4 linked regions of the Arabidopsis thaliana genome follow. The protein of the gene in region 1 binds, or shares a complex with, the protein of each later gene. Each region holds a gene or a part of one and is shown in the gene's direction. Other genes may lie near its edges. The genes, in order: TAF13, TAF5, TAF11b and TAF6B.

Region 1 (6,471 bases):
GGCTTGGGCTACAATACAGGAACTATCAGCCGTAAGAGGAGGCATTCTCGCTGATGAGATGGGAATGGGGAAAACAATACAAGCCATCTCTCTCGTTCTTGCCAGACGGGAAGTTGACAGAGCCAAATCTAGGGAAGCAGTTGGGCACACCCTTGTGCTTGTTCCTCCTGTTGCTCTTTCTCAGTGGTTAGATGAGATTTCTCGGTTGACATCCCCGGGAAGCACCAGGGTTCTTCAATACCATGGGCCGAAGAGAGACAAGAATGTTCAAAAGTTAATGAATTACGACTTTGTTTTGACAACATCTCCCATAGTTGAGAATGAATATAGGAAGGATGAAGGAGTGGACGAAACAATGTCTCCTTTACACTCTATTAAGTGGAATCGTATCATCGTCGATGAGGTCAGTACCAAGACCTGCTGGTTCTTCTTCTTTTCCATTTTCAAGCATGTAAGGAAAGGGGACTGTGAGATTTATTGTACAGTAAACCACAGCAGGGGAAGCTCACTGCAAATTTGCTTTTTGTGAATCTTTTATCCTTCAGGGGAAGCTCACTGCAAATTTGATATAATTCCCGTTTGTCTTCATATCAGGCTCATGATATCAAAAACAGAAGTAGTCGCACTGCCAAAGCTGTTTTTGCTTTGGAGGCGACCTACAGATGGGCTCTGAGTGGTACCCCTCTCCAGAATGATGTTGACGAGCTCTACTCCCTGGTTAGTTACTCTTTCCTCAACTTTTTCTATAGCACGTAATGATATCTCAACATTGCTGATTGTTTGTCCCAGATACGCTTCCTTCGCGTTTCGCCATACTCATATTACTTTTGCAAGAAATGTGACTGTGAAGTTCTTGATCGGAGGTAACATCTTACCACTCTCAATTCCTGGTTACTTTCTCCTTTCCCATACTTCTGTTTGATAGTTCATAACAATCTTTGCTGTTTCATTTCCTTTGTCCATTGCCTTTGGGCTTTGGCGGTGACTGCAGTGCGCATCGAAAATGTCCCAGCTGTCCTCATAATGCAAATCAACACATCTCTTGGTGGAAAGAGGTAACTTTGAGGTGCCATTATTAAAAACATTTTAAAAGCAGGATCACCATTATGTTCTTTGGTTTTTATATTTTCCAATCTTGCTAGAATGTGGACAAACGGAGAAACAGAGCCTGTATATTCCTTAAACAAAATGTTCTAAAGGACATTCTACTAAGACGTACTAAATTGGGCCGGGCAGCTGACCTTGCTCTTCCTTCTAGAATCGTATGTTCCTTTCTCTCCCTTGTCTGATATAAATGAAGCTTGGTATAGTTGCTTCCGAGCTTGATCTCTACATATAAATTTAGATCTCTCTGAGGCGAGATGCACTAAGTGTAGTAGAAGCTGATTTCTATGAATCACTATACAAAGTTAGCAAGACAACATTTGATGGGTAAGTTACTTTTGTTCTATGGATTTTCACTGGTTTCTGCTCCATGCTTTGTGTAAACTGAATTTTATTATTAAATCTGACATGTACATTTGTTTCTGCAGGTATATTCAGGCTGGGACATTGATGAATAACTATGCACATATATTTGGTCTTCTTATCCGACTGAGACAAGTGAGTGGTATCGATAGTTTTGTTGTTCTATTTACAAGCCAGTGCATGTTTTGGATGATATAGGTATATAGATTTCTGATGCATTTTCTTGCAATTTTTTCAGGCTGTTGATCATCCATACCTGGTGAGTTATTCTAGTCCTAGTGGCGCTAACGCTAACTTGCTTGATGCGAACAAAAATGAGAAAGAATGTGGTTTCGGCCATGACCCTTCCAAGGACTACTTTGTAAGTGTTCCAGTCGATATATTGTTGCTATTTCATACTATCTCGACTCTTGTTTCTCAGTAACTGTATCTTCTGGAAATAGCTGCCACCATTTTACACTTTCTTAAAGAATCATCGGATGACTAATGTTGGACTTAACTTGTTCGGTTAATATGTCTTTGGTTCTCTTACTTTGAAGGTGACTTCTAGTGAACATCAGGCAAGCAAGACAAAGCTTAAAGGATTTAGAGCCTCTAGCATTTTAAATCGGATAAACCTCGATGATTTTAAAACAAGTACAAAGATTGAGGCTTTGGTATGTGCCCTTTGAGATCTACAGCTTCTGTCTCTCCCACGCTTAAAGTTTCTTTGGAGATTGGAGGCTTTATCTAACCATTTGGTGATAAAAAAAATTTGTATGCAGAGAGAAGAAATCAGGTTCATGGTTGAAAGAGATTGGTCTGCCAAAGCAATAGTATTCAGCCAGTTCACATCATTCTTGGACCTGATAAGTTACGCCTTGGGGAAGGTAATTTCAAGCGCAACCAACTACAAAATGCTACTACTACTATATCTGTGCTCCTTTAACATTCTCTTTAATCATAATGAGACATTGAATAAAAATGATTGACTCATTTTGTACAACGCAGTCTGGGGTTAGCTGTGTTCAACTGGTGGGAAGCATGTCCAAGGCAGCTAAAGATGCTGCACTCAAAAATTTTAAAGAAGAGCCAGATTGCAGAGTTTTATTAATGAGCTTGCAAGCTGGAGGGGTTGCTCTAAATCTAACAGCCGCTTCGCATGTAAGAAGTGTACAACTTATAAAACAGTTGCTCCTAGAACATGTTTTATTCACTGACATTCGGGTGTTTGATTGTATAGGTGTTCATGATGGACCCGTGGTGGAACCCAGCGGTTGAGAGGCAAGCACAGGACAGAATACATAGGATCGGACAGTGCAAGCCTGTCAGGTTATATTTTTGAGTTGTCCTTCAATATACTGTATGTTGTTTTGGTGGGGGAAGAAAGAAGAAACATTTGGTTGTGTGACAGGGTTGTAAGATTCATAATGGAGAAAACAGTAGAGGAAAAGATACTAACGCTTCAAAAGAAGAAGGAAGATTTGTTTGAAAGGTTTCTTATTTTAAACGATACGCTTCTCTCAACTTTGCTGGTTTCTTATTGTCAACTGTATGAAGCCTATATGAAGACATATTTGCTTTGTTACAGTACGTTAGGTGACTCTGAAGAGGCCGTTGTACAAAAGCTGGGAGAAGACGATATCAAGTCCCTGTTCGCATAACCAAATCTTGTAGATGAAGAACATGATAGAAAATTTGTATAGATAGAAAAAAGAGTCTTGACAGGACAAAATTAGGCTCAAGCTAAAAGATTTGATACATACTTGTGTAATATGATGAGCACCGGATAGATTGTATATGAATCGGATCACAAACTTTTCCTTCTCCCGAAGAATATTGAGCATGAGGCCATGGCCGGTTTGAGCCATACCGTGAGAACTTAGTTACAATGTCGGTCGACTAGTGTACGGGTTTCTGGTTTAGATTATGGGCTGGTTTAATATAAATGGGCCTATTTATTAAGCCCAATTACTTCGTATGTAATGCAATGTGCTTCTTCTACGAGAGAGAGAGAGATCAGTGAACAAGTCCCCGTTTCTTCGTTCTCATCATCTTCATCGCCGATTTTGCAACGACCACCTCTGCTACTCCCGTCGATCAATCTACGGTGAGCTCTCTGCTCTCACTATTCCCTTTTCAATTTTCATTCCTTTTCCATGACGACAAATATTTGGATAAAGAACCTTATTCGATTTAACTCCGTTGGTTGTTGTACTGTACCGGAATACAACTTTCCGGTAGCTCTCTGGTTTTGATTGCGGTAGAAATCTAGAATATAGGCTCGGAATTTCATTTTCTAGTTGAGATTACACTGTTTTTTCTTTTTTGAAAATTTTCACCTAGGGTTAGTATTTGACTCAATTGGATTTTGTCGGTAGAGGAATTTCACTTATTTTTCTATTATTTTGCTCTCCTGGATTTTGATTATCAGAAGAAGAAGAAGAGATGAGTAACACACCAGCAGCGGCGGCGTCATCATCGTCTAAATCGAAAGCTGCGGGAACTTCTCAGCCACAGGAAAAGCGCAAAACTCTCTTTCAAAAAGAATGTAAAGTCTTTAGTTAAAACCAGATTTTTGTATTCTTCATTTTGTGATTCTTCTGGTAACAATGGTTTTGGTGCTTTTGTTGATTTTTCAGTGCAGCATATGATGTATGGATTTGGCGACGAGCAAAACGTAAGCCGCTATCCTCTTCATTACTATTTTGTTGCCATATGAACCGTATTTGTAGATATAGTTTCATTCCAATACAAGTAACGAATTAGGTAGAGAATCTTTGCTTTAAAGGGTTCTTGGTCGTGTAACATCTTTTAGTGTTTTACCACCTGAAACTGATCCAAAACTCCTCTGTATTTAGCCTCTTCCAGAGTCTGTGGCGCTTGTAGAAGACATTGTTGTGGAATACGTCACAGATTTGGTAGTGAGCTTTTTCTTTTTGTGAATGATTCATGTTTTACATTACAAGCGGAGAGATATTAGCTAACAAGTGATGTTTCAATGGCAGACACATAAAGCTCAAGAAATTGGTTCAAAGCGAGGAAGACTTCTAGTTGATGATTTCTTGTATCTTATCCGCAAGGTAAAAATTCTTTTTAAAAAGTACACAATCGATGATTGAGATGGTTTATGGTTTTGTATTCTATATCCGAAACTTTGGCGTCTTTGATTTATGCAGGATTTGCCAAAACTGAACCGCTGTAGAGAACTGTTGGCGATGCAGGAAGAGCTGAAACAAGCACGCAAAGCTTTTGATGTCGACGAAAAGGAACTCGTTGATTGATCTTGCTTTTCCTCAACGGGAGGAACAAATGCTAGGTAAGAGGAACCTCATGGATGCCGGACTAGGGACAGCGTTTTAGGTTGTAATCAGAATTCGAAGCACAGTAGCAAAAAAAAAGTGTGTTGACTTAAAAAAGGTGAAAAAAAATCTTGCACAAGGCCGACTCATATTAAATGTAGGCCCATTAGAAGAAAGCCCATTATCTAGCATCCCGTATATATCTACGGACGACCTTTAATTTTTCTTGAGTCAGGAATTTCGAAACCCTAAAAATTTAGAATAACCACCCGATTTTTGTTTCTTTCATTAAATTAATTACCGCAATAATTATAAAATTAGTCATCATTATAAGACTTTTGTTTTTCTCTAAATTTTTCGTCATCTTTCTGATATTTTGATTCATTATTTTACCATGGAAACAATAAATAAGAATGGTGATCAATTACCAACTAAAGAAAATCATTGTGATCAATTAGAGATAGAGCAAATAAACAACACGAGCATGAAGAAGAAAAAGTCATCACGTGGGATGCACATGTTCTCCGTCGTCATGTTCATGCTTCGTCGCCGCCGGGGAGAAAACCCTTCAACACCAGGTTCTGGCGGCGAGTCGTTAAGTCCGTACGTAAACTCCGTTTCGAAATTACGATAATGCCATCGTCAACTTTTACTAACACAATTGTTCTCCCTCCGGCTCCTCCTCCTCTGCCAGCGACAGAAATGGGAGGAGACGATGGTGATAATGATAATGAAGATGATGATGATTCCGAGGGTCGTTTATCAGAGACTATGGAGGTTTTCACGGCGGCTTCATCTTCATCATCATCAGGAATCTCGGGATATGGATCAGCCATGTCCTTATATGATGATGATATTGATGAGGAAGAAGATGAATGTTATAGTGATGTGGAAGGAGGAGACGATATGATTGATGAGAAAGCTGAGGTTCTATGCAATAATGAAGATGCAAAATCAGGTTTACACTGATCGTTGCAAAGCCAAAGGGATATATAGTGATGCATTAATGATCTTATTAATTATGGTTCGTATCATCTATCAAGTTTACGTCATCATCATTCAGGTTTTAATTTCTTGGTCATTTTTGGTTTTTGTATTATAATTTAATTTAATTCCTTTTAACTTTTTCTTCATTTTTGTTTCTGTAATTAGTGAGTGTATTTGAATTCATTAATGAGAAAATAGGAGAATGAAGTATATCTACTAAATTCTATTTGTGTTTGTGGGGAATGTTAAATTTGGTTTGCAGATTAAAGATCTCGTTAAATATTTTATGTTCAATGTTTTCAATCGGAAATTGGTCATATTAATAGCACATTTGACCAATTCATTGAATCGAGTTCTTTTCGAAAATTGAAGACTTTGATAATACCAACCGTTTATATTATGCATGGACATATGCGTAAGTGAAAAATCATACTGAGCGATGGTAACAATTACACAGTTGATTCCATTTCGTGAAAAACTCATAGAAACAACGGTGACAAATGAAGTTTCCATAGCCAAGAATTGGATCCTCGCCATACGATTAACCTACCGAGATGAACCAACGGTGATCATCTCTCTAAACTCCAAGACCAATCCTCAAGATGATGCAAAAATCTCGACTCTTCAACTATGCATCAAAACCAAATGCCTCATACTCCAACTACTTCATATGAAACAAAATACCAATCTCGGCGAATGCCTTAGTGATCTATTTCGTGATGAGAGGTTTGTTTTT
Region 2 (10,121 bases), on another chromosome or scaffold:
TTTAATTAAGTGTAGTTTGAAGATATATTTTTTTTCCGTGTTGTTTTCACTTTTCAATGCTAAAATTAAATGTATTTTATAGTTTTTAATTAATCATATTTTTTTATTGGTTAGATTAGTTGTAATTAATGATGTTTTTATAGAAAAGAAATAAATTAAATAAGATTTGTATATTTTCTTAATTTATGTGCAAAAACCTTAAACTACAAATATTAAGAAACAAAGAAAGTATGATTTATTGTAAAATAAGCTTATCATGAAGATGTTCCGTGCAAAACACATCCTTGAAATAGTAACAGTGAGATAAGATATAAAACATCTTATTAATAAAATTTTGTGATTGATTGAATTTGACTCCCCTGTAAAAAACAACAACTGATTTTAAAAACCATACATAGAAAACTATTTTATAGAACAACAATAAATACTAGTTTTTCACTATATAAGGACTTGATTGGTTCTTGAAAATTATATGTATTGATTATTGGGAGATTTGCAAAACTAGCCTTTTTTTACTACCCTTTTGCAACAATACCCTTTCATGTTGTCCATTTTTAAAAATATCTCTCCCCTTGAACAAAATGACCAAATTACCCTCATCTAATAAAAACATGTAATTGGAAACTGAAATTTTCCCGCCAATTTTTTGGCGCCAAAATATTTTTTTTCCCGCCAAAAAAAAGTTTCCGCCAAACTTTTTTCCAACCAAAAAAAAAAATTCCCGCCAACAAAAAAATTTCCCGCCAAATTTTTTTTTCGTAAAAAATTTTTCCTCAGCCAAAAAAAATATTTTAAAAATCCTTGTAAATATTTTTTAGCGCCAAATAGATTTACAAGGGATTTTAAAAGGATTTTAAAAGATTTACAAGAGATTTTTAAAAAGTTTTAAAAAATTTACAAGAGATTTTAAAAGAGTTTTAAAAGATTTACAAGAGATTTTAAAAGAGTTTTAAAAGATTTACAAGTAATTTTAAAAGGTTTTAAAATCCCTTGTAAATCTTTCAAAACACTTTTAAACCCTTTAAAAATCTTTACAAATCCTATGTAAATATTTTAAAACCCTTTAAAATCCCTTGTAAATATTGTAAAACCCTTTTAAAATCCCTTGTAAATATTTTAAAATCCTTTTAAAACAATTTTAAACCCTTTAAAAATCTTTAAAAGACCTTTGTAAATCTTTTAAATCCCTTTAAAATCTCTTGTAAATCTTTTAAAACCCTTTTAAAAATCCCTTGTAAATCTTTTAAAAACCTTTTAAAATCCCTTGTAAATTACCCTTTTAAAATCCCTTGTAAATCTTATAAAACCCCTTTAAATTGCCTTGTAAATCTTTTAAAACTCTTTTAAAATTCCTTGTAAATCTATTTCCCGCCAAAAAAAAAAATTGACGGGAAAAATATTTTTGAAAACAAAATTTGGCGGGAAATGTTTTTCAAAAATTTTTGGTGGGAATTTTTTTCGAAAAGGTTTGGCGGGAAAATTTTGGCGGGAAATTTATTTTAGAATATTTTAGGCGAAAAAATATTAATATTTCATTTTGTTAACCTAAAACAATTTCCAAATAAGGGTAAAATGGTAATTAAAAATTTAAAGAGAATATAAATAAAAATGGATAAAACAAAAGGGTAGAGTTGAAAAGGGGCATCATGAAAAGGGCATTTGAAAGAATTTTTCTTGATTATTTGATATCCAAAATTTTATAATATATTTTTAGAAAACGAGTTAACCATTGTGGGAGGAAATAACTGACCTTGTCTTATATACAATAAATTGTTGCAAGTGTTTAGTTTAACCATTGTAACATTTGATTTAAGAATTATTGTTTAAATATTTTTAAACTGGGTGTTTTGGAAAGTTATTTTTTTTTTTAAATAAAAGTTAGAAATTTTGAGAAGATAACATTTTTTTGGATAATTTTCAATAATTCTGTAAGAATTAATTACTCAAACAATAAATATTGGTATCTTGTCCCAATCTTTAAGTTGAAATAGAGAATCCAAAGCAAGTAATTTAAAAAGAAAATGGTTATGAGATTTTACATCAAAGTAAGGTCATGGGCTTATAATTCAAAAACTCTTAGTAAATTTTGAATCTGGGCATTTGCCCAACCTGCCACCCCCATAGACGGGCCTGGTTTTAATCATAACTTTGAAATTATTATATTTGGGCCACAATTAGGCCATTGAAACAGGCCCAGTTTTGTAGAGACACGGAATCTAAAAAACTGAAGATGTTTCAGCGACGAGATACAAGTTTCTAGGAGAGGAAATTGAATCGAGAGAGAGAGAGAGAGACAACAATGGATCCAGAGCAAATCAACGAGTTCGTCGTGGGCTACTTGAAGAAGAAAGGATTCAGTAGCGCTGCTAAAGACCTTGAATCTTATCATCACCAGAACAATAATGGTAGCTCCTTCACTTCTGTCGATTATCATAACGATCCTGAGCTCACGAAGCTCATTCGCTCCTTTTCTCAGTAATCTCTCTCCCTATCTCTCTCTCTCGTTTCAATTCTTAATGCGAATTGTGTTTTGAATTTTTGGGAAAGTTTTAGTGTCTTTTGTGAATTTTGAAAACCGTAAGGAAAAATTATGTAAGCTCCAACGTTTTTGAGAATCTAAAAATGAATATAATTCACTTTCTGGGTGAAGTTTATGTGAATATTTCTATCAGTTTATCTGTCAAATTTAAGATTTTGATGACATCTCAGTGGCAAGAAATTAGGTTTTTTTGTATGGCTTATGTAGAGAGAGCTAATGGTAATGAAATGTCTGTTCTTTTGTTTGCAGACAAGAAGATGATCCAACTCGGTACCGTGAAGGTTACAGCAAACTAAGGTCATGGGCGTATAATTCTCTGGATTTATATAAGGTGGGGATTTTTTTTTGTGTATCCCTTGGCTGTTTTGGGTAGAGACAGGCTTAATTGAACTGACGAGATGATTCTAATTTTGTAGCATGAATTGCTTCGAGTGATGTATCCTGTGTTTATTCATTGTTACATGGATCTGGTGGGGAAAGGGCACACTCAAGAAGGTACTTGTCAATATAGCAAATTAGATGTACTGAGTATTTTTTTTACCTTCGGTATAAGATTTTTGGAAACAGTGACTTATGCTACTGTGGGAAATAATACGTCTCTTGTATTCCAGCTAGAGCCTTCTTTAACAGCTTCCGCAAAGATCATGAGATGGTACACTTACGGGATCTTCAGAAGCTTGAAGGCGTGCTTTCTCCATCTCATCTAGAGGTTTATGATAAACCTTATATGGTCATATAATATTGATAATGGATTTTTTTTTTTTTTTTTTTGGTTATTATCTTTCTTATGATCTTGGTTCTTATCAGGAGATGGAGTTTGCTCGTTCTCTTAGAAAAAGCAAGGTTAACATCAAGTTTTGTCAGGTAGACTTGAGTGAAAATTGACTAGTAGCTGTAATAGGCAACTGCTTCGAGGTTTCTGGTCTGATTAACTGAATTCCGTGACTGCAGACCTCTAATATGCTTACTGAATGTTGCAGTATTCATATGAGCTGTTACTTCAGTATCTACATAGTACAGTATCGACTTTAATGCTTGGTATTATTAACGAGCACATCAATTTCCAAGGTAAATGTGTTTCTTTCTCTTATATATGCGATAGCTTGTAGCAGTTTTTTGAGTAGAAAATTGAATCAATTGGTCATGGATAATTTGTTGCAGTCTACTCGGGACAGCCTACTTCCTCATCCGATGACATAGAAGCTGTCACCATTGTCGGGAGTTTTCAGGACACTGCTAATCACATTAATCAAAAAGAAATACAGTGGGGAGTACGTATTTCCCCTAAAGTTTCTTTTCTCTTCTATTTTTCCAGAGTTATAACATGTTGATGCCTCATCCCAGGGATGATAACATATTTGCGTAGTTAATAGCTACATATGCATTTTTCTTTTACAGTTGCTTGAAGATTCACTAGAAGATCGCCTTGAGAAGACAGGAGGTCTGCTGTCTGATTCTGAGAAGGGACAAGGAGAAAGTAAAGACGGGGATGCAGATGATAGTAAGGTGATACATAGCTTCAACTTAGTCAATAATTTCTGAACTGAAATCCCGTTTTTACTCGTCAATTGATTCTGTGTACAGAAAAGATCCACTGAAATTGGAAAGCAAGGCTCTTCCTTAAAAAAGTTGAAGAAGGACAAAGCGGGTAATGCAACAGCAAAAGTTGCACGTCTGGAGACCATTACGGTGTCACCGGCGCCGCGTGTAAAACCAGAACTTGCCTTGCCAGTAATGTACTTTCGAATCCCTTACCCATTTTTTGTGTTGGGATTTGATTAAAAAGGAATGAACATGTGATATCTATGGGTGATGCATGATTGTTTAGGAGAAATGAACATAGTCTTTGTATTTGTCAAAGACTCAACCTCCTTTAACATAAATCAATTTTGCTCCATCTCCTTGTTTTCTCTGTCAGGTCCACAGATGTAGAGCAATCCATCCTTGAAGACCTTAGAAACCGTGTGCAGTTGAGTAGTGTTGCAATGCCATCAGTCAGCTTTTATACATTTGTGAATACTCATAACGGGTAATGTCCACCTCTCCTCCTAATTTTAACTACTTATTTGCAACCTTGTTACTCACTCTTTTATTCTCCCCCAGGTTAAACTGTTCATCTATATCTCATGATGGATCTCTGGTTGCTGGTGGGTTCTCAGATTCTTCAATAAAGGTATGTTATTCTCGGATGGTTGGATACATTTCCCTTTTTTTGTTTTCTTCCTCTCTTAAATGATGCCAAGTGACAATTATGGTGTTCAGGTCTGGGACATGGCTAAGATAGGACAAGCTGGCAGTGGTATGTTAATTCTCTGAAAAATTGTATTGACATCCACGTTTAAGAATGATATTTATCTCATACGTTTCGCTTGTCATTTTTGTTGATTTCTCATAATGATTGTTTTTGTTTCCATGAGAGTTATAGACACTAAGCTGTCTGGTTCCAGGTGCTTTGCAGGCTGAAAATGATTCAAGTGATCAAAGCATAGGACCAAATGGCAGAAGAAGTTATACATTATTACTGGGTCATTCAGGGCCAGTTTACTCAGCCACTTTCAGTCCCCCTGGAGATTTTGTTCTATCTTCTTCAGCAGATACAACAAGTATGTATCTGTCCATCACTTTACAAATCCATACACTGGCTCATTAGTTCAGACTTTTTTAGTTACCAACCCTGTATTCATAAGTGCAGTACGACTGTGGAGCACAAAACTAAATGCTAATCTCGTGTGCTACAAGGGTCATAATTACCCTGTATGGGATGCCCAGGTATAGTTAATTCAATTTAACCCATGTTTCTTACATAACCTGCAATTTATGGTGGCTGGACATGTATATATATTATATACTCATTTTATGGTGCAGTTTAGCCCTTTCGGTCATTACTTTGCAAGCTGTTCTCATGATCGTACTGCACGGATTTGGTCAATGGACCGAATACAACCTCTTCGGATAATGGCAGGGCATCTATCTGATGTTGATGTGAGTGTCTCCCTCATCTTCATTGTTTGGGTTTAATTTGCAAAGGTTAAATCGAAGGGACCAATTGAGTTGTTAATTAAATGCATGGATAAATTTCTTAAAACGTTTTATTATGCAATTGAAGTCATTAATTCACCGTATCAATGTTTACAATGGTTTATCTAACATTTTACATTGTTTATTGACTTAGATTAGTACCCACTTGTTATTTTAACGTGACCCTGACATTCATAATTTAAGAATCGTCCAGTTTATAGTTGATCCAAAGATTGTTAGCCAATACGCTTAAAGTCATAAGGTTACGATGGATTACTTAACTATTTGGATTGACATTAAGTCAGATCAGTAACTTCAATTTTTCTTTGGATACCTATTGATGCGACTTTCGTTGTACTTGTCAAATGCATTTGATTTCAGTGTGTACAGTGGCATCCCAATTGTAACTACATTGCTACCGGTAGTAGTGATAAGACGGTTAGACTCTGGGATGTGCAAACTGGAGAATGTGTCCGGATATTCATTGGGCACAGGAGTATGGTTTTATCATTGGCGATGTCTCCAGATGGGAGATATATGGCTTCCGGTGATGAAGATGGCACTATAATGATGTGGGACCTCTCAACTGCTCGCTGCATCACTCCTCTCATGGGCCATAATTCATGTGTCTGGAGTCTCTCATACAGGTGAGGTGTCAAGAGAAGAAGAAAATAGCTTTATTTGATCATTCAACTTTTATTGAGTTAGTAATACACAATGAAAACGTAATATGATCCTTTTTTCAGCCAACTATTGGTTTTGGTTGATATGCTTTATCATCTCTGGAATTTCTTCTAGGACAACATTTTTTAAAGGGTAGTTCAGGGTTATGATATAGAGTGGTATGGTGTGGCTATTTCTATTAATTCTACAGTGACTTACTACTGAACTGGTAGATTTTTCTATATCCACGCACTCTTGTGTTAGCTCTAACATAGGGTTCTTGTCATGGGTTGTGGAATGTTGTATAGGCCTAATGTGTTGGGTCGTTAATGGAATGACTGGTTTTGGTTGGTAAAATCCACTTGCTTGGAATATTGGAACCGTAAACTCCACTTTGATAAATCATAGAACTACTACAATTTATGACTAACCTGTTTTCCTGTTTCAGCGGGGAGGGCTCTCTTCTGGCTTCTGGATCCGCAGACTGCACAGTGAAACTGTGGGACGTCACTTCAAGTACCAAATTGACAAAGGCCGAGGAAAAGTGAGTTTGCTCTTTCAAGTTGTATTGTTGTTCCCTTTGAATGGTAGATTGTTTTGTTAAAAACGATTTATCATTTGTGATTGATCAGGAATGGAAACTCGAACAGATTGCGCTCACTCAGGACTTTCCCCACCAAGTCCACACCAGTTCACGCTCTCCGGGTAAGTTATGCTTTCTTTACTAGAATTAATTCCACCATTCTCTAAACACCGTGGTATTTCTCTCATCCCTAAGTTTATCATGTTGTGCTTGTGATCAACACATCCCGATAATGAGTGACCAAACACTTGATTAGAACCAAAGTTTCAGGGTGTGTGCCAAACAGATTTTATCCATCAGTATCATATAGAACCTTTCCTCTAACACCTAGGATTCGTTGATCGAGGCATACACTAAAACTCATGTTTTACATTGATGCAGTTTTCTCGGAGAAATTTGTTGTTTGCTGCAGGAGCGATCTCTAAACCCGCAAACTGATCAAAACAATGGTATCAGATATTGATGCTTTAACATTCTTACAAGCTGTTGTAGATCTCAGAAGAAATCAGGTGTAGAATAGTTATCTCCAAAGATTATTTGCTTGTGGCTTTTGTTTCTCATTTCTAAATCCCAAAAATGTTGAAGATTCTTTTAATGAACAACTACTCCTGCTTATGTATGCCATGTGTCCCAATCCAGGAATCACTTATCTTCGACTTGGAGCAGATTTACTTTAAGCATGTCAAAGCCACATTCTTCCTTCTAATAAACACCCTAGTTTAAGCATGTCACCTCTATCATGAATCAAAACCTACTCGAAATGAATAAGGCAAAGAACAACAACCAAATATTCTCAAAATTTATAACGTTAATAAAATAGAAACATGTAATGAATCTCCCCAAAAAGACATCGTGTGTCGAGAGAAATCTTTCTTAAGACAGGGTGGGTGGTTATGTGGTATGTTGTGAATTATGTTTTTTCTTAGAGAACATATTTTTTAGAAACTTTTCAGATACTAACATATTTTTTATTTTGTGAAAACATTTAATTCTCCTAATTTCTAGAGACGGTACTTAAATAAATAGAGAGCTGACGACAAAAATAAAATAAAATTGAGAGCTGAAGAAGAAAAGAAAGAAAAAAACATGTTTTGAAAGACATTTGCATCAAAATTTTGGATGAGACATAAAATCTACCAAAAGTAGATTTGGTTGTGTGACTAGACAATTGTCTACATTTGGAATTATATGTGGGAATGTGGTACTCGTTATCTTCTTATATGAGATCTCTCCCGGTCAGTTTTCTCATTACTTTTTCGAAAACAAATAAAGTTAACATGATGCATATCTAGTCCATTTTTACCATATTTTTATACTAGTGTGTGCATAAAAATAATCTTGGACAGACTCAGAACTATATCATACAATATTATTTGGAAAGTATATTTTAAATGTAACCTTATCTTTTGTAAGTAATTATATAGATATGCAATTAGAAAAAAAAATTTAAAGAGTAAATTAATTCATCTCTTTAAGAATTAAAAAGTCAAATACTAATTTAATTAATTAAACTTAATTAAAAACGAAATACATTATTAATTTCCAAAAAAGTAACCAATTAAAATCAACAAATTGGATTTGATATCTAAATTATCATATTAATTTTTTTATTAATTATTATAGTTCACTTCTCATCTTTATATGATTCTATTTTTGCGAAAAATAATATCATCGCTATAAAAAAATAATTAGAATTTTTTCGCATATGCCATAATTTAAATTTTTAAAAACGAATATAAACTATTCAATACATGAAACAATATTATAACGGGTCAAAAATAGATTTAAGAAAACTTTCTACTGAGTACTGGGTCATAATATGAATATTTATATTCAATTTCATATATATTGTTTTGAAAATTTATAATCTTATATACTACAATAATTAATAACATATTAGATTTTTTTATGTGTATGATGTGATTCAATTTTTAATACAAGCTGGAAAATCCTAGAATTGACGGGTTTAGATCGATATTAATACAAGATGGTATACTACAGGTGAAACTCTAAAATTAACAATCAAAATACAAGTGTATAATTTTAAACACTAAACAATATAAATAATATCAACAAAACATATACAACTCGTAGTTTATTATACATTTAAAATCAAATAAAATAATATCGTATATTTATAATCATCTTTACAATAAAAGTTTTTAGTTTAACTAAAATATAAGCTTACATGCGGTATACTGCAAGTTAAAATTATAAATAAGCAAATTACCATCACGATGTTTGTACCTTCTCACATACACACCTATCAAAAACTTAAAACCTTTCAAGACCTCTTGGTATATTCAAATTAGGATTTCTTCATTCATGGAATCATTCTTCCAAGGGTTTTAGGATGTCCCATGAAATGATTTTGGCAGAAGAGGATGTAAAACTTTTCGAATAAAACGTAGACAGCAAAACATATGTTTTTTTGGGAGTTTTTAGATAATTAAATCAGAGAATGGGGCTGGGCATATGAGTAACCTATTCAAGTTCGGGTAGAACCCGTTCGGGTAGAACCCGTTCGGGTTTGGGATTAATGGGTATATGATTTACTACCCAATAGAATAATTCTAAATATTTGGTTCTGGTTCGGGTCGGGTCCATTTGGGTTTGCGTCAGTTTGGATAAAAAGTTTCAGGCCCTAAAAATACCCAAAAAAATTGAAACGGGTATTTTGTATGTAGATAGTGGGTCTCCAAACAAAAAAAACTTTTAGATTTGTTAAGTTTTAATAAATTTAATTATATTTGAATATATTTTACTAAATTTTGACAAACATAACACATAATTTTTGAATAGTTTAGTTGTTTTGGATATTTAGGTCCAAAATTAATTGACATATTTAGATTTATAATTATAATTTTAGATAATTAGATTATATTACGATTAAATATAATTAATATTTTGGATATTAAATTAATGTTTGGGTTTTTGAATACCCTCTTTGGATAAAGGGTAATTTCTGGACCAATCGGATATCCACGGGTTTACTAAAACTCTACCTAATAAGGAAATTTCCTAAAATTCTAACCCGCTCTAACCCGGTTTTTTGGTTCGGATAATGGATTGGTTATCGGGTCTGTTTTTTCGTGAGCCCTATCAAAGATAATCTAATATAGGGCCCAATTAGGTTCACAAATATAACCAAAACATTATACAAAAACTAATTTTAAGTTAGGCCAAAAATTAGATCTTTTAATACAAAGGAAACATGTTTCTTACTAGAACAACTTGTATACAAATTTTACACATTTACTTAAAATTATATATGTTGTATTTATTATAAAAATAATATTTTTAAACAAATTCAATCCA
Region 3 (5,411 bases), 6.4 Mb from region 1:
GATAAAAAAGTGTTAGGTGGGGTGAAAAAAAACAGAGAATAAAAACCTCGCAAGCGAGGGAAGTGATGAATAACAGAGACAATTGGTTATATTAGCTGTCACTCCCATCTTTCATATTCCTTCACCATCTCTCTCTCTCTCGATCTTGTGAACCACTACACACACTAACACAATGAGAGAGATCCTTCACATTCAAGGTGGTCAATGCGGTAACCAGATTGGTTCCAAGTTCTGGGAAGTCATCTGCGACGAGCACGGCATCGATTCCACCGGACGTTACAGTGGAGACACTGCAGATCTCCAGCTTGAACGTATCAATGTCTATTACAATGAAGCTTCAGGTGGAAGATACGTTCCTCGTGCTGTTCTTATGGATCTTGAGCCTGGTACTATGGATAGTATCAGATCCGGACCGTTTGGTCAGATCTTCCGTCCTGATAACTTTGTCTTTGGTCAGTCTGGTGCTGGTAATAATTGGGCTAAAGGTCATTACACTGAAGGTGCTGAACTTATTGATGCTGTTCTTGATGTTGTTCGTAAAGAAGCTGAGAACTGCGATTGCCTTCAAGGTACTATATATATCTTTTTCTGAATTTTCCATTATACGCAAATTTTCTATAGTGTTTGATGTCGTGCATCATAATTCGTATATTTACTGGATTTAGTTTGATTCAATAATCATTTCATTCGTAATTTGTCTGACGTCACCGTATCGATAATCGTTTATCACCATAGATCTCTTCTTGTAATATAGTATGATATCTATCTACATAATTAGTAAAATTAGGTCACGGTTTAGTAAGTGTACTATAGTATGTTTTTTTTATTCTTTTTTTTTTTACTTTGATGATCTTGTTTATCTATTATTGGTGTGCATCAGTGCATGTGGGTTCTTATTCAGTAATACGATCAATCAAATCGTCTTATTTAATGTAATTGCAAGACAGCAACGAAATAATTGAAATGCAAGTGCTGTTTTCTGTGGAGTGGGATGTTAGCACTTATTATTGGTAGGGCCAAGCTGTTTTGTATAGTATTGAGATATTTTTTTGTCAAGTTTTTTTCTTCATATTAAAGCTTCAGAGATAAGATATTATATCATTGTGATGTCGTGATCAAAACATTTTCAAGGCACCGTGATTACGGGATAAAAGATGGAGTGGTCCTACTACATCATATAGATTTCTTGGAATTTTGTAGTAAAAAGTTAATAAAAATCTCTTTTGCCTTTAGAGTTTATAGATAATGCTTGTGGAGCCCAAACAACAATCTCACGTGATTCGTTTTTTTAGTTACTTTTGGTCAGGTCTCACGTGATTCGTTTTATACATTGATTATTTAACTTCAATTATAACTATGAGTCTATGACTACTAGTGTGCATTGTTATTATTGGGGAGAAATATTTTTTAACGCATATTGTAGATTCATTGATTATTGTTTTAAAGCATTGTAGATTCACATAAACATTATAGTTGATTTAGTTAGCAAGGACTAGTAACAAGATGTTTGCTTGACTATATATGAACACTTTTTCGTCTCATCGATGGAACCAATACTATGTGAATCATGGGGCTGCATTATTTTACAGGGTTTCAGGTGTGCCATTCGTTGGGAGGAGGCACAGGTTCAGGAATGGGAACACTATTGATATCGAAGATCCGAGAGGAGTATCCAGACAGAATGATGCTCACTTTCTCTGTTTTCCCATCTCCTAAAGTCTCTGACACAGTCGTTGAGCCTTACAATGCAACTCTCTCTGTCCATCAGCTTGTAGAGAACGCTGATGAATGCATGGTCCTCGACAATGAAGCTCTCTACGATATCTGCTTCCGTACCCTCAAACTCAGCACTCCTAGCTGTAAGTACACCCAATTCTTATCCTCCATTAACCCAAAATGTATTTAAAACTAATTCTGATACATTGCATGATGATGTAGTTGGAGACTTGAACCATTTGATCTCCGCAACAATGAGCGGTGTGACTTGCTCCTTAAGGTTCCCCGGACAACTAAACTCTGACCTCAGGAAACTCGCGGTGAACCTAATCCCATTCCCTCGTCTCCATTTCTTCATGGTGGGTTTTGCGCCCCTCACTTCCCGTGGCTCGCAACAATACATCTCACTCACCGTTCCTGAGCTGACTCAACAAATGTGGGACTCCAAAAACATGATGTGTGCAGCTGATCCACGTCACGGACGTTACCTCACAGCCTCTGCTATTTTCAGAGGACAGATGAGCACAAAAGAAGTCGACGAGCAAATCCTAAACATACAGAACAAGAACTCGTCTTACTTCGTTGAGTGGATCCCAAACAACGTGAAATCCAGCGTTTGTGATATCCCACCAAAGGGGCTCAAAATGGCGGCGACGTTTGTGGGTAACTCGACGTCGATTCAAGAAATGTTCAGGAGAGTGAGTGAGCAGTTCACGGCTATGTTTAGGCGTAAAGCGTTTCTGCATTGGTACACAGGAGAAGGAATGGACGAAATGGAGTTTACGGAAGCTGAGAGCAATATGAATGATTTGGTCGCTGAATACCAACAGTACCAAGATGCTACTGCTGATGAGGAAGGTGAGTATGATGTTGAAGAAGAAGAGGAGGGAGATTATGAGACTTGATCCACCAAATCAAACATTTTACTTAAAAGACAAGGAAACGACTCTTGGAAATCTCTCTATTTAAATTTGATTGAAAAACATTGAAAAAATGGGAAATTTGTTTAAATGTGTTTTTTGTTTGAGTAATTTGTTCAAAGAAAGTTTGAAGTTTCCATTTATTTTGGGTGTCTTGTATTTTCCATTTGAGATAATACGTCCTTGCTTCTCAAGCTACTGTGTAGTATATAAATTTTACACTTCTCTCAATTGTCCCACATCGAGTAAATTAGTATAAAGGAAGCTAAACTTTTGCCTCTATAAATAAAGATACTTCATTTCCCACCGACTTTTACATTTGGGCTTCTTAAAAAATAGGCTTGACAATAAATGGCCTTTAACGCAAGGTCTTGTTGTTTTGCTAGTAGCAACGAGCGGGTTACTTGTAACTGCAATTGTCTGAAAGATCAGCCAGTGCCAAGGTACTTGTAATTACAAGTACAAAAAATTGATTTCTTTGAGTTCATGTTCATGTCGGATTTTTTCTAGTGTGGTCGGATGTGCAACAAAAAAATTGGCTGAATTTTGGAGTTTTAAGATCCAAAGATATGTGATTTTCGTTAAGGTTTTATTAAGAATGAAGCATTCGAAGGATCCGTTTGAAGCAGCAATGGAGGAGCAAGAGGAATCACCTGTTGAAACCGAGCAGACTCTTGAAGGAGATGAGAGAGCTGTGAAGAAATGTAAAACGTCCGTTGTTGCTGAAGCGAAGAACAAAGATGAAGTTGAGTTCACCAAAAACATAACTGGTGCTGATCCTGTGACTAGAGCCAACAAGATGCAGAAGATTTTATCACAATTTACAGAGGAACAAATGAGCAGATATGAATCTTTCAGAAGATCTGGTTTTAAGAAATCAGACATGGAGAAGTTGGTACAGAGAATCACAGGGGGTCCGAAGATGGACGACACTATGAACATCGTTGTGCGTGGTATCGCAAAGATGTTTGTTGGCGACCTTGTGGAAACAGCTCGAGTTGTTATGAGGGAAAGGAAGGAATCAGGACCTATTAGACCTTGCCATATCAGAGAGTCATATCGAAGACTAAAGCTCCAAGGAAAAGTGCCTCAAAGATCAGTTCAACGGCTTTTTCGCTAGTCAGAATGACGAGGTTACAAAGTAGTGACATGGACGAAGAGTAACTATCATGCTCTAAACCAAACGTGATTAAGTCTTTGCTTAATAACTAAAGAAGTACACGATAAGATCAGAAACAATTGGCCATCTCTCTCATTACTCTTAAAGAATTCACCTTTCAAGCATTCTACAAATTGACTCCCTAAGAAACGATTACAAATAACACAATGAGATTTCAGTCTTTTAATTCAACCTACTTGGCTCTAGCCTTTTTAGAGACTCTGCTAGCCAAAAAATCATCATCTGAGTCGTCATCATCAGAGTTCTTCTTCCTCTTCTTCGTGGTTGGTTTCGAATCATTTCCCTTCTTTTTGTTTGACAAAGCTTCAGATGGCGACTTTTGTACTTCCTTCTTCTTCACGGTCACTGATTTGGAGTTGCTTCTTGGAGTAGAAGCAGCAGATTTTACTGGAGAACTTAATTTTCCACCCTTTTGCAGTTTCTTCTCAAGAACTTTCTTTGCTTTTTCGGCTGGAAGCAATCCAGACTCCATCAACCTGTGATCAAAACCACAAAAGGGTTTTCAAATAAACAAAGCAATCTAAAAGCAAATATTACACATAACCATCACAGATCATATAATCAATGCTTTGAGTGACTGGTTTGAAAGGACTCCCCTTTCTTACATACAATGTGAGTCCAATTATGATGTTCAAAATTTATGCGAACTAGCTTAAACCGTGTCGCAAAACACAAGAGACCATCGAAAATCAAACGCAAGTATGCATCAAGTCCCAAAAGAATAATTTAAGGTGTAGGACTCAGTTTGCAGATTGAGTGATCAAACACAAATAATCAGATACATACCAAACACAAAACATTAAGTGTAAGTGTTTTAAAGTTGCAGAACAATGTAAGGCAGAGAAAGGAATAGAAGAGCTTACCAAATCTGAGCCATGTCGCTAGTGGGAATTTGTTTGTAAAGTGACTCGTAGAAAATCCTAAGTGGATCTCTCTGCAGAATTGCAAAATCAACAAAAGAAATTCTTCAGACGAATTCAACAACAAATCTAAAAAGCAGAGAAACAGAGCAGCAAAAAAATACCTCATCAGGCTGCTCTCTCTTCTGACCAGGCAAATCATATACTTTTCTTTCTCTCTTTTTCTTTACTTCTTCTTCTTTCTCTGGTTTCTTATTCTCCTATAAACAAAGAGAGAGACTCATAATCAAAACAATGCCTCATCAAATATTTTACCATCCTCAATATTTATACTCAAACAGAGAGAGAAAGAAATAAAAATCGAACCTTTGAGACACCAACAGAAGAATTCCTCTTAGAAACAGGCTTCTTCTCATCGTCTTTATCAATCTCTTCCTTCTTCTTCACTGGCTTAGCTCGAGACCCAGATACAGATGACTTGATAGGTTTGTTATCATCATCATCGTCATCGTTCTCTTCTTTCTTCAATTTCTTCGAACCAGCATTGTTACCGTTCGTGGGTTTCTTCTTCGCAAAGGAACTCAAGCTCTTATTGTCTTCCTCAGCCTCCTCTTTCATCTTCATAGCTTTCACATCCTCCGAAGGTGGCATCTTCTTCTACCAAATCAAAAAAAGTCGAAACCTTTGATGAAATTTTTGTGAGAGATTTGAGAAGAGAAACCGCTGTGTTCCTCC
Region 4 (7,195 bases), about 20 Mb from region 1:
CTGTATCCAATCTCAATGAATGATGTTGTTCACTTTCCCTGGATTTTGCAGTTCTTTGTGCTACGAGATTATACAAAAGAGACTTTATCACTGAGATGGAGATCATGGATGACCAAATATTACCTGCAGCGCTATCTCAAAGATCAAACCTTTTACAAGATCCAGTCTCAGTCTATCATCGACAATCCTGATCAGCGCCTTGTTGACGATTTGAGTTCCTTCACTGGAACTGCCTTGTCTTTCTCTTTGACGCTTGTTAATGCCACCATTGATCTCATCTCTTTTAGCAACATCCTCTTCACCATTTATCCTCCTCTCTTTCTCGTTCTCTTGCTCTACTCCTTTGGCGGTACAGCCATCAGTGTCTTTCTTGGCAAGGTACAACAATGCCTCGTTAAGCAGTGTGATTGTCTCTATTCTGTTCCGCTTCAGATTTTGGCTTTGTTGCATTAACATTCCCTCTTGTGTTCAGGGACTAGTGAATCTCAACTTTCTACAAGAGAAGAAAGAGGCTGACTTTCGTTACAGCCTTGTACGAGTGAGGGAAAATGCTGAATCTATTGCTTTCTATGGAGGCGAACAGAATGAAATGCAGCTTCTGCTTCAGCGTTTCAGAAGCGCTTTTGATAATTTAACTGTAAAATTTCTCGAGCTTTCTTATCCATTTATATATATATCTATAGATTGCACAATAAATTACATTCAATTTTTTCACCTGCAGGAATTGCTGATAGCATCTAGAAACCTAGAATTCTTCACCGATGGATATCGCTACCTCATTCAGATTCTTCCAGTTGCTGTTGTTGCCCCAATGTATTTCTCCGGGAAGATTGAGTTTGGTGTCATTAACCAGTCAGTGTCTGCATTCAATCATATCCTAGGAGACTTCTCGCTCGTTGTCTATCAGTTTCAAGCTATCAGCTCTTTTTCTGCTGTCATTGATCGACTAGGTAGATTAATTATGTATTCTGCACTCTCTTTTAATGTTCTATATATATACTACTTGTTGCTTACAGATCACACAAGACCTTAGATCAATACCGAACAACATTAGACGCAGAATATGCACATCACCATAATTTCTGTTACCTGATGGTGAGAAATAGATATTTTAGTAGTAGGGTTTTGTTTAGAATATCGAAGAGTAGAAGTTGCAGTGTGTCGCTGTAGTTAGTTATTTTCTTGTGTTATAACAGTATAGAGTGTGGTGTATAGTAGGATTTTGATAAGAATATATAGATAATAGTTAGACTGTATAGTAGTAAGATTTTGTTTATAATATCTAAGAGTGAATACCCGGAAAAAAATGCGGGTGTAACCGTTGAGAGTGTGATGGGCAGACAAAAAGATCGAGTCAGCTGTTCACTTTCCTGCTTAAAATTGGGTCTAAATTATGTCTTATGTACAACATATTCACAAAGTTTCATTGTTTCTGCAAATCAACTTCTACGGCTAAATGAAAAACTGCATTTGCTGTAGGTTGGGATTCTCCTTTTACGCATCTAACAATATCAAGACTTCTTCCAACACAGGTGAATTTGATGATCTTTTGGATAACAACATCTTCAGAGATCCATCTGACACTGTGGACGAGATTGAGCTGACATATCAGAGTGAGATGAACTCTTCACTGCTGGACACCAATGGTTCAATCAAGTCCCAACCGAACCAAAAGCGTCTGGAGATCGAGGAGCTTACTCTTCAGACACCAACAAACGGAACCACATTGGTTCACAACTTATCTGCAGATGTATATGACAAGGATCACCTACTGGTTAGTTCACTTTGACTACTTGTGTTTAAAGCATGTGACTGGTAGATTGGAAGTTACTTAAAAATGCCATTTAACAGATAATGGGTCCTAGTGGGAGTGGAAAAACTTCGCTGCTAAGAGCAATGGCTGGTCTTTGGAGGTCAGGGAAAGGAAAAATCACGTTCTACCTCGATCCTGAGGTAGATTTTACACAGGAGAAATCTGATACTCAGGAAAATTCAGGGAAAAGAGGAGACGTATTGTTCCTTCCACAAAGGCCTTATATGGTTCTGGGATCTTTGCGTCAGCAATTGCTTTATCCTACCTGGAGTGCAACTGTGGAGGAGACGACACCTGGTGGCAGTAATATTGACGGTACTCAGTTTAAATTTGTGTCTAGTAACAACCATTTCTTTCAACTCCATTTAAGTTTATGCAAGCAGATTATAGAACCCAAAAGCAAATCGACTGAAGAAAAAATGCGTTGATTTTGTTAGGTTCACCACCTCTGCTGATTAGAGAGGACGGAAATGAAAAGCCGACAACAGATGATCTGATGCGGACTCTAGAGAAGGTTTGTCTTGGACATATAGCGGATCGCTTTGGTGGTCTTGATTCGATACACGAGTGGTCCAGTGTTCTCTCACTTGGTGAGCAGCAGCGCCTTGCCTTTGCACGGTTATTGCTGTCTCAGCCAAAGCTGGCGCTCCTGGATGAATCCACCAGTGCGTTGGATGAAGCTAATGAGGTACTTGTTGGTTCTCCTCTCATCTATCATTTAGAATAATATCATGTACATGTAGCGTTGAGCCATTAAAATTCCTCTTGATGCCCAGGCGTTCCTGTACCAGCAAATCCAGTCGGCTGGCATTACATATATAAGCATTGGCCACCGCCGGACTTTAACGAAATTCCATAACAAGATCTTACAAATCTCAACGGCAGACCCGAAGAGCAATGAACGTAACTGGCGAATAGAGGACGTGGATGCCCAAGATTCTTTGTACGGTAGATTGAATCAAAAGGAGGTGCCAAGTGAAAGCTGATCAAAACCTGATTGATTACATAAGAGACAGAAGCAGCAGGTAAATCTGCAAACGGGTGTCATGAAACATATAAGAAACATGTTTGGTGTCCATTTTGTATATAATCTACCAGACTTGACGTTGACTGAAGATGCAAGTAAATAGAGAGATTGATACAGATACGAGTGCAACGAAGTTCTGATTAAAAATAACACGCGAGATGAGCTAAAAATTCAAAACCGGCTGAGTATTTATCATAAGCCCAATAAATCTAACGATGGGCCCATTTGAGAAAGCCTGATAGAGTGAGAAAATGTAACACGACTGACTCGACTCAGTCGCTCAAAGTCGAAAAAGAAAGAAGGCGCAAGGAGGATGGTGACGAAAGAATCCATTGAAGTGATAGCTCAGAGCATTGGACTCTCCACTCTTTCTCCGGACGTCTCAGCCGCTCTTGCTCCCGATGTCGAGTATCGCGTCCGAGAGGTCATGCAGGTATATCATCAACTTCAACTTTACTTTTGCCCTCTAATCTCCTCTTTAACTTGTCGTCGCAATCTCCAGGAAGCTATCAAATGCATGCGTCATGCTCGACGCACCACTTTAATGGCTCATGATGTCGATTCTGCTCTTCATTTCAGGAATTTGGAGGTTTCCTCTTCCTCTCTTCTTCTTTTATTTCATACCGTTGACCCTGATTTTGACTTTTTTTTGTATAGCCTACCTCTGGCTCCAAAAGTATGCGGTTCAAGAGAGCTCCTGAGAACAGAGATCTATACTTCTTCGATGACAAAGATGTCGAGCTCAAGAATGTAAGCTTCATTGATTGGCCATGAATGAAGAAGATGGTGAAATGTTGTTTATTGTTATTAAGCTTCCCTTCATGGTCTCTTGTGCAGGTTATCGAAGCTCCTCTACCAAATGCACCTCCTGATGCATCTGTTTTCTCATTGGTTGGCAATTGATGGTATTCAACCTTCCATTCCACAGAATTCTCCTCTCCAAGGTATTTCTTTTGTCTTCTTTTGCATCACCTACTACTTCTCCTTCTAATCCCTCTTCCATGACAATTTGTAGCCATATCTGACCTTAAACGATCGGAATATAAGGACGATGGCTTGGCTGCTAGACAGGTGCTTTCTAAGGACCTTCAGGTTATTTTACTCCCTTCTTTTTTTGGGTCTTTACCTCGCTCTTTGAATGCTATATAATCCTTGCTTGCTCTCGATGCAGATTTACTTTGACAAAGTCACGGAGTGGGCTTTGACTCAATCTGGCTCCACCCTCTTTAGACAAGCACTCGCCAGCTTGGAAATTGATCCTGGACTCCACCCATTAGTTCCCTTTTTCACTTCTTTCATCGCTGAAGAGGTTTGTCTTTGTAATCCAACACTTCTAGTCTTGACTTTTATTCTAACTTGACCACATTTTCACTACTTTTTTTGTGCTTGCAATTTCTCCAGATTGTCAAAAACATGGATAATTATCCAATCTTGTTGGCTTTGATGCGTCTTGCTAGAAGCCTCCTTCATAACCCTCATGTACATATTGAGCCATATGTAAGTTTTGTGCGCACACTTTTTTTTTGTTTTTTTTTGTTTCTCTTCTCCCTTCTCCTCCTTCTGTTGACTTTTAACTTGTTGTATTCTGTTCAGCTGCATCAGTTGATGCCGTCTATTATCACTTGCCTTATTGCCAAGCGCTTAGGAAGAAGGTCATCTGATAATCACTGGGACTTGAGAAACTTCACTGCCAGCACAGTTGCTTCAACGTGCAAAAGGTTAATGTTACATTCTTGCTTTGTGATTTCATGCATCTTATACAACCATATAACTTGCAATCACATTAGTGAACTTTTTACAGGTTTGGACACGTTTATCACAATTTGTTGCCACGTGTCACAAGATCACTGCTTCATACCTTTTTGGACCCAACCAAGGCACTCCCACAACACTATGGGGCAATTCAAGGGATGGTAGCCCTTGGGCTTAATATGGTACTTCCTCTTGATGCTTCTTGATTATCATAACGAAGAGTAGCACTTTAGGTTGTGCGTCTAGAATTTTTACATAAGAAAGCATAAGTTTAAAACTAATAGTAGCATGATCCGACATCCTCGATAAAGTTATTAAACCTGCAATTGAACCTTAAGATATATATCCTTTGGTCGTCCGTAAGTATTTTCTTGCTTTATACCTTTGTCTAGGTTCGCTTTCTTGTTCTCCCAAACCTAGGGCCGTATTTGCTGCTTCTTTTACCTGAAATGGGACTTGAGAAGCAGAAGGAAGAAGCTAAGAGGCATGGGGCTTGGCTTGTTTATGGAGCGTTGATGGTGAGTATGCTTTCTAGTTTGATACAGAAATTAGAAAACTTGTTTGCTTTCAATCTCGTGTTGCAAAACAGGCAGGAGAGCATATAAACTTTAACTTTCCATAGGTGGCAGCTGGTCGATGCCTATATGAACGGCTTAAAACATCTGAGACACTGCTGTCTCCTCCAACTAGCTCTGTCTGGAAGACAAATGGAAAGCTCACCAGCCCCAGGCAAAGTATAAAATCTGGTCTCATTCTTTTTTTTTCTTTTGGCGTTCTAAACACGGAGATACGCGTTCTTAAATAATTTTTTTCTTCGGCCAAGGTAAACGCAAAGCAAGCAGTGACAACTTAACTCATCAACCACCACTGAAGAAGATAGCAGTAGGGGGAATTATACAAATGAGCTCCACACAAATGCAGATGCGCGGAACCACAACAGTCCCTCAACAGTCCCACACAGATGCAGATGCACGGCACCACAATAGTCCCTCAACAATTGCTCCGAAGACTTCAGCTGCTGCAGGCACTGACGTCGACAACTATCTCTTTCCTCTTTTTGAGTATTTTGGTGAGAGCATGCTTATGTTCACCCCCACACATGAGCTCAGTTTCTTCTTGTAATAGATTATTGACATGGTAATTGTATGTACCACAATAAATACATCTATATAATATTTCGAAATGTCTTGGAAATCGTCAACTTTATAGTGGGCATTTTGCGAGAGGTAAAATCAACCAGTGTTAATCTTACATAGACATATGTGTACTCTAATTATAGCTTGGCCTGGACCACAAATACACATCTTTTCCATGCTACTCCCCATCTCCATCTCCATCTCCACTATTAGTTGTGAAGAACGGAGTCAGAAAGTTTTTGTCCAACGCGGTGAATGATGTAGTGCTGCAAAGTTTTGTCAAGTGAGTCCCAAAAAATTGCAAATATCGCTTTTTACTCAGGAAAACATACTAAGCCATTCTCTTATTCTTACGTTTTGTGAAACTCCTTCAGCTTCATCTTGAACCTGCTTCCTGATGATGATGTATCCTCGTCAGATGAAGCTCCAATGCTAAAAGGAGGAGGGACATACTGATGATCGCTCTCTTCAAAGCCCTAACCACGTATCTGGGAGCGTTAGAAAAAGTACATACACAACTTTACTTCAAAGATATTAGAGTAGATCGTCGAGAGTTTACTTCAGACATGGAGTCATCAAGATCGTCACCTACAACTTCCAAAGCTTCCAACATTTTACCTGTCGAACCTCCTATTAGTAAAACCTGAAATATTACTGCAATGGATAAGAAACGCAGCCTATGTATTATTCTCCAACTCTCGCTGATTCTTATGTATACTACCACTGGAAATAACATAGATGCTTTTCATGGAGAGAATACGAAAGTTACCGTGACAACAACAATAGTTGTGGTTGCAGTAAAGATGATTTGGCCGTGACCCTCTGGTAGATCATGAAGTGATTGAAGTGCAAGTGCAAATGCCATTGCCCCTCGAAGTCCTATCGATGTGCCAATATGTGTACAAGTTTTAATAGTTTGTAGATATAAAAATGGGCATCAGGAGACAAGAACAAAAGCTATTAGCTCAACTCACCACTATACCAAAGGGCTTTTTGGTGCTTCATAGGTATCTTCTGGTTCTCCTGTCTAAATAGGTTGACCAAATATGCACACCCAAATACATTGACAGCCCTGCGTGAGAAAAGCATTGCAGAACATATAGGTAAATCCGAATCGAAAACCATGGTGATAATGAAGCGATCAGCCAGGATAAAAAAGCATTTAGTCACCTAGCCACGCCAATAAACAACTGATGTCAGTCATGAAACGCAGAAGCAAAAGGTAAAGTCAAGGATTTACAACACTGACTAACACTGCATACAATCACTGACGATCAGTAAATGAGGATACAATAGAGAAAAGGATAAACCCAACATGGGACCAGCTATGCTGCTCCATGGCAATATCAAATCCCATGTAAATGAACCTAGAAAAGCATTAAACAAATCAATATCAATCTAATAGAACTTTAAGCGTAGAAATTGTTATCCAACAATGGATGTTATTGCTCTGGACTCACGTGAAAG

Evidence for each region.
Region 2: TAF13 (region 1) and TAF5 share a complex: the UniProt entries of both Arabidopsis thaliana proteins name them as parts of the TFIID complex.
Region 3: TAF13 (region 1) and TAF11b share a complex: the UniProt entries of both Arabidopsis thaliana proteins name them as parts of the TFIID complex.
Region 4: TAF13 (region 1) and TAF6B share a complex: the UniProt entries of both Arabidopsis thaliana proteins name them as parts of the TFIID complex.

What each region holds. Positions count from the first base shown.
Region 1 is NC_003070.9:577,190-583,660, forward strand, and holds TAF13 (TBP-associated factor 13), read left to right. Parts: upstream 1-3,435; 5' UTR 3,436-3,556; intron 3,557-3,880; 5' UTR 3,881-3,894; coding exon 3,895-3,997; intron 3,998-4,088; coding exon 4,089-4,126; intron 4,127-4,307; coding exon 4,308-4,367; intron 4,368-4,454; coding exon 4,455-4,529; intron 4,530-4,625; coding exon 4,626-4,730; 3' UTR 4,731-5,121; downstream 5,122-6,471. Other genes in the region: AT1G02670 (P-loop containing nucleoside triphosphate hydrolases superfamily protein), read left to right, coding at 1-403, 595-717, 790-863, 992-1,055, 1,143-1,262, 1,346-1,431, 1,533-1,602, 1,706-1,828 and 6 more. UniProt on the Arabidopsis thaliana protein: TAFs are components of the transcription factor IID (TFIID) complex that is essential for mediating regulation of RNA polymerase transcription. May be involved in polycomb repressive complex 2 (PRC2) mediated repression.
Region 2 is NC_003076.8:8,674,818-8,684,938, forward strand, and holds TAF5 (TBP-associated factor 5), read left to right. Parts: upstream 1-2,231; 5' UTR 2,232-2,299; coding exon 2,300-2,475; intron 2,476-2,788; coding exon 2,789-2,870; intron 2,871-2,955; coding exon 2,956-3,034; intron 3,035-3,150; coding exon 3,151-3,248; intron 3,249-3,346; coding exon 3,347-3,403; intron 3,404-3,519; coding exon 3,520-3,607; intron 3,608-3,700; coding exon 3,701-3,810; intron 3,811-3,937; coding exon 3,938-4,045; intron 4,046-4,123; coding exon 4,124-4,275; intron 4,276-4,457; coding exon 4,458-4,568; intron 4,569-4,642; coding exon 4,643-4,712; intron 4,713-4,801; coding exon 4,802-4,838; intron 4,839-4,986; coding exon 4,987-5,142; intron 5,143-5,231; coding exon 5,232-5,308; intron 5,309-5,404; coding exon 5,405-5,521; intron 5,522-5,938; coding exon 5,939-6,204; intron 6,205-6,668; coding exon 6,669-6,764; intron 6,765-6,852; coding exon 6,853-6,925; coding exon of another isoform or gene 6,926-6,970; exon of another isoform or gene 6,971-7,184; coding exon 7,185-7,241; and 2 more. UniProt on the Arabidopsis thaliana protein: TAFs are components of the transcription factor IID (TFIID) complex that is essential for mediating regulation of RNA polymerase transcription.
Region 3 is NC_003070.9:6,935,243-6,940,653, reverse strand, and holds TAF11b (TBP-associated factor 11B), read left to right. Parts: upstream 1-2,987; coding exon 2,988-3,079; intron 3,080-3,233; coding exon 3,234-3,756; downstream 3,757-5,411. Other genes in the region: TUB5 (tubulin beta-5 chain), read left to right, coding at 173-569, 1,590-1,859, 1,939-2,621; AT1G19990 (nucleolin), read right to left, coding at 3,989-4,292, 4,680-4,750, 4,841-4,936, 5,043-5,327. UniProt on the Arabidopsis thaliana protein: TAFs are components of the transcription factor IID (TFIID) complex that is essential for mediating regulation of RNA polymerase transcription.
Region 4 is NC_003070.9:20,287,447-20,294,641, forward strand, and holds TAF6B (TBP-ASSOCIATED FACTOR 6B), read left to right. Parts: upstream 1-3,153; coding exon 3,154-3,273; coding exon of another isoform or gene 3,274-3,342; coding exon 3,343-3,590; intron 3,591-3,677; coding exon 3,678-3,784; intron 3,785-3,855; coding exon 3,856-3,932; intron 3,933-4,011; coding exon 4,012-4,149; intron 4,150-4,241; coding exon 4,242-4,337; intron 4,338-4,433; coding exon 4,434-4,558; intron 4,559-4,641; coding exon 4,642-4,774; intron 4,775-4,984; coding exon 4,985-5,110; intron 5,111-5,214; coding exon 5,215-5,326; intron 5,327-5,415; coding exon 5,416-5,714; downstream 5,715-7,195. Other genes in the region: ABCD2 (ABC transporter family protein), read left to right, coding at 52-378, 473-637, 722-950, 1,533-1,774, 1,852-2,128, 2,251-2,501, 2,590-2,799; NHX5 (sodium hydrogen exchanger 5), read right to left, coding at 5,907-5,994, 6,083-6,204, 6,288-6,371, 6,498-6,607, 6,703-6,800, 6,899-6,918, 7,020-7,095, 7,189-7,195. UniProt on the Arabidopsis thaliana protein: TAFs are components of the transcription factor IID (TFIID) complex that is essential for mediating regulation of RNA polymerase transcription. Not redundant with TAF6.